Schizosaccharomyces pombe: one gene and its partner. Changing the gene in region 1 together with any one later gene gives a genetic interaction. Each region holds a gene or a part of one and is shown on either strand. Other genes may lie near its edges.

Region 1 (5,199 bases):
CCTTGGGATGAATTTGGAAAATCCCTGGATACCTTCTCATTTTTTCATCTATTAGAAAACCGCAGTTTTGAATTTGCTGTACAAGCGATGGTATCTCGTTCGACGTTTCTCTCTTTTCTGACAGATCGTAGTTGAGCAAATTTAGCATATCGTCAATCCGAGATTCCATATTAACAGATCTTTTGCTTAACGTTATAATATGATTTCTCAGTTCAATCATTTCGGTGTACTCTCGAGTAATACCAGCTGTTGACTTCTTTACAGGCGGCTGCCCGACGACGATATGTGGGTCATCCTTGTCTACGTTTGGCTTCTTTACTCTTTTTCTTTTATTATACTTGCACGTTTCTGAGTACACTACACAATTCTGGCATTTTGGCAATTCGCCGTTACACCGAAGTTTTCTTTGCCTGCACAAGTCGCAAGCTGTGCTAATTTTTTTTATTGGTACCATTGTTTGCACATTTAAAAACTTCCAACAACACAGTCTTTTAGGCGTTTTTTTGGAATATTAAATTTTTTTGAAACTACTCGTACAGGGCACCTTGCAATATATACAATTTTGGAATTTTGTGCCATTGATAGTAAACAATGATTATCGCCGATCGATTTTTTCGCTTAATTTCGAGTATATTTCAATGACGCGAGCGCCATGATAATAAATGAACATTCCTTAAATGGGACAGATAACAAAATAATCAATCCAATTTATGGGTGAGAGAATTGTTCCTTACTGCTTGGTATCAATTTCAACCTGCCGTTCTTCATGTGATCTTACAAAAATCCATTAGTAACATAGCTTCATCATTATAAATACCATGGTAAACAGCCAAAAAATGATAATAAACAAGTCTAATCAAAAAGAATAAATGTGAATATTAATATAATGAATAGGATCAAAAGATAATGTTAGGATTTGGAGCTGAAAGCAATGGGAAGCAAAACTTTTGAATGCTACCAAATTATTCCGAACAACTACTTAAATGAAAAAATCTTTAACAATTGCTTGATATCAAACAACTTTCATTTTAGCTCGGAAATTCATTTTTAAAGGCATGAAATAAATATTGGAAGGAGCCATAATCATTCACATTTTTTGTACGTTAATTAATAACACTATGTTTCAATGTCCAGGCTTACTTATGTTAATTTAAATAAATGTGTTGAATCCCAGTTAATTGCCTAATGAGATTTCGACTTTGAGGCATTATTTACTACCATCCGAGGTTTTCAATCAGGTAGTTAAAAAAACATAAAACAAACATCAAAAGAGGTATATGATAATTAGAGTTACATATACTGTATCATTAGATACGTTGTCTCGAAAAAATGAGCTTAGTGTGGCACCAATCTTTTTTTCTTTTCTTGCAATTTACTAGACTCCACGCAGGTGGTCATTTTCAAATACTGTTTGTTTCTTTAGCTGGGCAATTTTTACCGGTAAAGTGCGCACATTTTCCTATCCAGCTCGTAAATATATTTCAAGCATTTTACTTCTCCTCTTTTGTTAACCACAGAGAATAGATAATTAATACACTTTCTTTTCTTATCTCTACAGAATCAAGTCGATCAGGTATACATTTTTACGACGAATCACTTTGAATATTATTTGTAGCAGAAAAACCATCGTCTATAAAATTTTGAAACTTCCTTTAATTGAACATCATAATTTTATAGTCCCGAAATATAACTACTATACATTAACCAACAAATGTTCTTCCCTATTTTTAAAGAAGGTATTTATAATAGCTCTTCCTTTTAAAGATGACTGCTTCACTGGCTTTGTATAGAATTTTTTTTTAAATTTGAATAGCGAAATGTACCATATTCGCAATGTCAATTATAGCACTATTAGGAATACGGAGTAATTATTTAACGCAATTTTGTATATGTACGTTGCAGATTATGTGTTTACTAAATGCCAAACGTAGAAAAATCCGTGGCTTTCAAATATCCTCTTTTTTAATCCATTATAGGCTGTTTTATTGCCTTTTGACCTATTTTAAAACAAAAAATCAATAATTTTCATCTAGAAACCACCAAAATATTACTTTTAAATTGTTTTTAATCACTTTAACGGGCTCGCTTTTAAAAAGCGATCAATTCAAGACCTTTGAGAATTATGCCGGAAGCATTAAATGAAAATGTTTCAGACACTGCATCAAATGGGCCTGTAGCAAAAACTAGAGCACCTCCTAATACTTCCTTTCGCCAACAAAGGATCAAGTCTTGGCAGCCATTGTTAACCCCTAAAATCGTGCTTCCACTTTTTTTTGTGTTAGGAATTATATTTGGTCCATTAGGAGGAGGATTACTTTATGCTAGCTCTATCGTACAAGAGCTAGTTGTTGATTATACGGATTGTGAGACTCTGGCTTCTTACGATGAATTCTCTGCCGTCCCTTCCAAAAAGTACACAGCTTCATTTGATCAATCAGGAACTATTGGATTTGACAAAGAATCAACCTACTGGAAACTGGAGAAAATTCTCGATAAAGATCTAGATATGGACGTTAACTACTGCATCATAAGATTCACAGTCCCATCTGTTTTAAAGGCGCCTATTTTCATATATTACCGTTTGACAAATTTTTTTCAAAATCATCGACGGTATGCTAAAAGTGTAGATGAAAAACAACTACAGGGAGTGGCTTTAACTGCTGACGAAGTTAAAGGAGGCAATTGTTTTCCTTTGGAAGTTAACGAAGATGACAAACCATATTATCCATGTGGTTTGATTGCAAATTCTCTTTTCAATGACACTTTTTCGTCACTGAGACTGCTGGATGATAATAGTGTTTACACTTTTTCTACCAAAAATATAGCTTGGGCTTCAGATAAAAGACGATTTTTGAAGACAAACTACAGTCCTGATGATGTTGCACCTCCTCCCAATTGGGTTTTGCGTTATCCTGATGGTTATACTGAATCAAACATGCCAGATTTGTCAACTATGGAAAATTTACAGGTTTGGATGCGTACAGCTGGTCTGCCTACTTTCAGTAAGTTGGCTATGCGGAACGATAACGACGATATTTTTCCAGGAACATACGAAATAAAAATTGGGTTGTTTTTTCCTGTTAAGAGCTTTGACGGTACCAAATCTCTGGTTCTTACGACGAGATCGGTGCTTGGAGGAAAGAATCCATTCCTTGGAATAGCTTACATTGTTGTCAGTGCTGTTTGTGTTGTGTTAGGTACCGTTTTTACATTAAGGCATTTTATCCGTCCAAGAAAGCTTGCCGATCATCGTTATTTAAATTGGGATTCTGAAGAAAATAATTTAGCACCCCATTTGAGTGATCGTCCTTAGGTTTGTCGCGATTGCCGACTATTTACAACTCTGGGTTGTAATTGCAAAATTAGTTTCCTCATAGTAGAAGGAGTTTTCTCTGTCTTCTTTTTTTTTCTACGCCTTCCGTTGTCTTTAGATTTCTTTTATTTATCAAAGGGTAGAACTATGTTGTTTTAGGTTTGATGATTACGATTGCTAATTCTGACATTCATATTACATCTTTTTGCTATACTCAATTTCATTAAAATATGACTTTTGAGGTATTTTGATGGACCCCTAATTTTCTTCATTACTGGCTTTTCAAAGGTAGTATGTGTTTTATATTTTGCTACTCAAATTAGTTTATTGTAACACACTAAATTTATCATTCAAAAGATCTTTGGAATGCCTTTACATGTACCATTCGTTTACATTTCATTCTTTTACGCTTTTCTCTTTAGTCTCATGAAACTGAGATACGGATTTTTTTTATCAATTAATAATTCGCATTATTAGCAGAATTTGTTACTGAAGTGTGCTAGCAGGTCATAACTGCTATTCTTTAGGATAAAATTGTTATGCGTGCTTACTTTGGAAACTCTATACCTGTTAATGATACTTTGGTTTAACATACTGATGAAAATATTACGCTGTTTGTAACAATCATAAATTTTTGCATTTTTCTTTTATACTAAACCGCTATTTGCTTTCCTCTGCTGCTCCATTTCTTGTCGTTCAAACCGTTTAAAGCCGTTGTTGACTATGACATTTGTATAATTAAAATTAAAAGCGTTGTAAAAAGGAAATGCTGGTGCGTAAAAGAATGCACTTGTGTATTGAAGTGTTGTGATTTGAGGACAGTCTACAATAGGTATGGCGATAAAAGTAAAGTAAATATCACTACTACCTGAATTTTGCAAGCTTATTGATATACGTGAATTGAACATTTATACCATGCCATACTGTATCATGTCAACAGGTCTAATTGGAATACTACGAAAAAAAATCATCTCTCGATATACAAAAGTCAGCACATGCTTGGCTGTATAGCGAGAACAAAAACAGAAAAAGACGATTTTGGTTATTCCTACAGACTATGCTAGCAATTAACTTATGGAGAAGTGTGTTCTTTAACCTTGCCCTACATGTAAAATATCCACTTGTAATTTAAAAAGATATTTCACAAAGTAAATTTTTCTTTTGACAATATTACAACCTTAGCTAATTTACTTTTTTTCTACCCATTGGATTTACTAATTTAAGAACGTGAGAAGCCATAAGTCAATATGGAATGAAGCAATATCTTATTGACAAGAAGTTTTCGTAGTTAACTTATTTGAGGAGTCTATTGAATACACACTGGGTTGACAATTAATTGCTCTATGTCAAATCGACTGGGGAATTAGCAATAACCATACTAATGTGATACAATGAAATGTAAATTTACAATTAAATAAAAGTACTTAATATTTCAAATATTAGCAACTAGCCGAAATTTTGGAATCATTAGCCAAAAAAAAAATTAACGCGCTTTAGCAAATGTTCTGGGTTGTAGATTTGCAGATAAGACACTCTAACGAGACTATAAGTTATCCAAGGCCGGTTATTTGATATTTAACATTTTCACTAACTTCAAACTGTCCTTTTAAAAATGGCGGGATTGGAATCAAAAGTTTCTGATATGAAAATAAAATCAGACGTTGTTTTTTATATAGACGAAGCTTCCGGTAATGATGAAACTGGCAACGGAAGTCAAACATCACCATTTAAAACTGCAATCCATGCTTTGGAAACTGATGCCAACTGTACGATCTTTGTCAAAAAAAATGGCAGTGAAGAGTTTGAGCCTATAACCACCAACGCTTTAAAGAAGGCGAAAAAGGGAGTTGAACAAGCCGCTAAGAAAAAGGCTAAGGCAGCTGAAG
Region 2 (4,146 bases), on another chromosome or scaffold:
TTGCATGATAGCGTCTCTTTCTTTTTGCGGCATCTCACCGTGCATACTGGTAACGGTAAAGTTAGCTTCTCGCATTTTCTCCGTCAACCAATCAACCTTCCTACGAGAATTGCAAAATATCACAGCTTGTGTAATGGTTAAAGTATCATATAAATCACACAGAGTATCAAACTTCCATTCCTCTTTTTCAACTGCTATAAAGTACTGTTTTAAGCCTTCAAGAGTAAGTTCATCGCGCTTGACCAATATTCGAACAGGGTTAGTGGTAAACTTGTTAGTCATTTCTAACACGTCTTGAGGCAAGGTAGCACTCACAACTACCACCTGTGTACCAGGGGGTAAATATCTATAAATGTCATAAATTTGTTCCTTAAAGCCTTGATTTAAGAGCTCATCCGCTTCATCAAGAATAAGCATCTTAACATTGCGAGTTCGCAAATTTCGTCTACGAATCATGTCCGTTACGCGCCCAGGAGTGCCAGAAACAACGTGTTGTCCATAATCCAATTTTTTGATGTCATTTCCAACGGATGTGCCGCCTATACAAGCATGACATTGAACGTTCATATGGTCACCCAATGCAAGTACAACATTCTGGATTTGAACTGCCAATTCTCTCGTAGGAGAAAGTATTAAAGCTTGAGTATCTCGGACTGATAAATCGATCGACTGAAGAATACCAATAGAAAAAGTTGCTGTTTTCCCTGTACCAGATTGAGCTTGTGCGATAACGTCTCTCCCTTTACAGATTTGAATAATCGCCCGGCTTTGCACAGCACTCGGAGTCTCATAGCCATACGCATAGATTCCACGAAGTAAATCCTCTGCATGTTGTTAGAACAAAATTATGGAAATTTTTATCAATTCATTAACTAACCTTTAAGATTCATTTCCTCAACTGCAAAACAATGTTAGCATCATTCACAGTAAGTATTCATATTATAAAAAAATATAATTTACTTACAAGAGGATACAGCATTCACATCTTCCGATGTCGTAAGCTCCACGTTCTCCATTATTTCGTCCGCCATAATGGAAGTTGTAGTAGTTATGTTATGTCAGCCCAACTTGAGGAAAATGAAGGAGAGAAAATTTGACAAGCAAATAGAAAGCTTGGTTAGTTACAAAAATAAAAGAATATTCCTTTAAAAAATTTCAATTGTACGGAAAGCTTTATTAAATATTGACAAGAAGTTTAGATGAACTTATTATTCACATGTTGTTTATTTTCAGTACTCCCAACTTGTTAGATAATGGTATAAAAAGTAAACTAGCGGTTTCTTAGAATTAGACATTACACGAAAAAATTATGAGAGTCTTACATTAATTTTCTACAACTGGAGCAATGGTTGAACACCACCCTTAAGAGTCTAAACAACATTTCAATTCGTCCTAGAATTGTTATACTAATTTCCGTTTTAGCAATCTAAGTTCTCCTAGCACTAACATGCAAATTATCGGCTAGTCAAAACCCATTATCAATTAATGTTTCCTAACCAGAATTGCCCACCACTTCGCATAAATTCAGTTATACATTTCCATGCTAAAAATTACCTAAAATCACTCTCAGATATTATAAATGCTATACACAGTTTACATTTGTGAGCGTTGTCATGAATCTTGTAACCAATGTCATGTTCGCTTGCGATAAGATTGCAAATTGCAATTGTAAGACTTAATCTAATTAATTAAGAATTACTTTTCATCCACTACTGTTGACGTCAATTGACTTCTCTTTTCATAACATTTCTTTGTTTTTTGCATTCTCTTTGTTTATAAATGGGGTTTCTTTGTTTATACATTTGAGCTAAAATGTATAAAAGAAGCATGTATACCAAAACTATTGCATCGTTTTCAAAATGCTTTTAAGTGTAAGAGGCGTGCCGGTTGAAATTCCATCTCTCAAAGATACAAAGAAAAGCAAGGGAATCATTCGATCAGGATGGGTTATGCTGAAGGAAGATAAAATGAAGTATCTCCCTTGGACTAAAAAGTGGCTAGTACTTTCTAGCAATTCTCTGTCGATATATAAAGGAAGCAAGTCTGAAAGTGCTCAGGTTACGTTGCTGTTGAAGGATATTCAAAAAGTAGAGCGTTCAAAGTCTAGGACATTCTGCTTTAAATTGAGGTTCAAAAGTAGTACCAAAAATTTTGAGATTCAAGCTTGTGAATTGTCCGTGGCCGATAATATGGAATGTTATGAGTGGATGGATTTAATATCTTCTCGTGCGCTTGCTAGCAAAGTTTCAAGTCCGATGAATCCTAAACACCAAGTGCATGTGGGAATTGATAATGAAGGAAATTATGTCGGATTACCCAAGGAGTGGATATTGCTACTTCAGAGTAGTTCGATTACCAAACAAGAATGCATGGAGGAGCCGAAAGCAGTTATTCAAGCTTTGGATTTTTATAGTAAGCAGTTGGATACAACAAGCGAAACTAAAGATAGTTTTTCATTTTGCAAAGAGACACTGCCACGATCCTCTACTACATCGTATTCTATTCGCGATGCTGACAAACATCATAAACTCACGACATCTGGAGTTACTAAAATGAATATTACTGAAAGATGCAAGCCGAAGACAACCATACAGACGGATAAAAAGCATATCATAAGGCCTTTTATTGAAGACAAAAGTCATGTAGAATCTATCATGACCGGAAAAGTAACCAAAGTACCGGTCAAAGCAGATTCAAAGAACACGTTGAGTAGAAGAATGACTGATAGACAGGCTTTAGCCATGTTAAAAGACTCAGTTACTTCTCATGATCCTGTCGAATATTTTAATGTTAAGCATAAACTTGGCCAGGGTGCATCGGGATCTGTTTACTTAGCCAAAGTCGTCGGAGGAAAACAATTAGGTATTTTTGACTCAGTTGCAATAAAAAGTATTGATTTGCAGTGCCAAACAAGAAAGGAACTAATCTTAAACGAAATCACTGTCATGAGAGAATCGATTCATCCTAACATAGTGACATATTTAGATTCATTTCTTGTTCGAGAAAGGCATTTATGGGTTGTGATGGAGTACATGAACGCTGGATCTTTGACTGATATTATTGAAAAAAGTAAGCTTACAGAAGCACAAATTGCTCGTATTTGTCTAGAAACGTGCAAGGGAATTCAGCATCTGCACGCCAGAAATATTATTCACAGAGATATTAAAAGTGACAATGTTTTACTCGACAACTCTGGAAATATTAAAATTACTGACTTTGGATTTTGTGCTCGATTGTCTAACCGTACTAATAAACGAGTTACGATGGTTGGAACACCATATTGGATGGCCCCTGAAGTAGTAAAGCAAAACGAATATGGGACCAAAGTTGATATATGGAGTCTTGGAATTATGATTATAGAGATGATTGAAAACGAACCGCCTTATCTCAGAGAGGATCCAATTCGTGCATTGTATCTGATAGCAAAAAATGGAACTCCAACTCTTAAAAAACCTAATTTAGTTTCTAAAAACTTAAAATCTTTCTTAAATTCCTGTCTTACAATCGATACCATTTTTAGAGCTACTGCTGCTGAGTTGCTGACACATTCATTTCTTAACCAAGCATGTCCGACTGAAGATCTAAAATCTATCATTTTCTCTCGCAAAGCGAATACCCATATTAATTAGGTCCAAAATTTACTTTTATGATTATTTGAATATTTTTAACGATCCTTAATGATATACAACTTGCTAGTTTTTTAGAAATTTCAATTAACTTCTCAATTTGCATGTGCGAAACTTTTGAGCTTACTTTTGAATATTAAAGCCTTGAAAGTAATTACTAAAGGTTCTATATGTTTTTTTTTAGCACCCATTTAATTTTGAAGATACTCTTTTTCTGGTCGATAACTAGAAACATATTTGGCGCTACTTATACTAGCTTGCTGCTGAACAATACCATAAATGGTAATATAAATGATCAAAGCACTGCTTACTATAACTTAACATGGGAAGGAAACACAGCTTACAACGTTAGTCTAACTTTATCAACCTGCACTGCTTTTGATGGCGCGAACGATTTGATGTTATATATATCGAACAATACGTTTGACGAAGCTCTTCCTTTAGATAATTTTACGATTACTGCTTCTGAAAATGGTCTAGCAACGATATTTGTAACCGGCTACTCACCTTTATATATTGC

The links.
Region 2: mutations in mug89 (region 1) and shk2 together harm fitness less than expected from each alone (positive genetic interaction), as found in Schizosaccharomyces pombe (one large-scale study listed by BioGRID).

The regions. Positions count from the first base shown.
Region 1 is NC_003423.3:303,415-308,613, reverse strand, and holds mug89 (phospholipid-translocating ATPase complex Lem3 family subunit), read left to right. Parts: upstream 1-1,916; 5' UTR 1,917-2,122; coding exon 2,123-3,313; 3' UTR 3,314-4,699; downstream 4,700-5,199. Other genes in the region: SPOM_SPBC1773.12 (transcription factor), read right to left, coding at 1-454; asparagine--tRNA (Asn) ligase Nrs1, read left to right, coding at 4,926-5,199.
Region 2 is NC_003424.3:271,293-275,438, forward strand, and holds shk2 (PAK-like kinase Shk2), read left to right. Parts: upstream 1-1,859; coding exon 1,860-3,629; downstream 3,630-4,146. Other genes in the region: fal1 (ATP-dependent RNA helicase), read right to left, coding at 1-824, 878-898, 965-1,031; plasma membrane stretch-activated calcium ion channel Yam8, read left to right, coding at 3,797-4,146. UniProt on the Schizosaccharomyces pombe protein: Forms an activated complex with GTP-bound Ras-like cdc42. Participates in Ras-dependent morphological control and mating response pathways.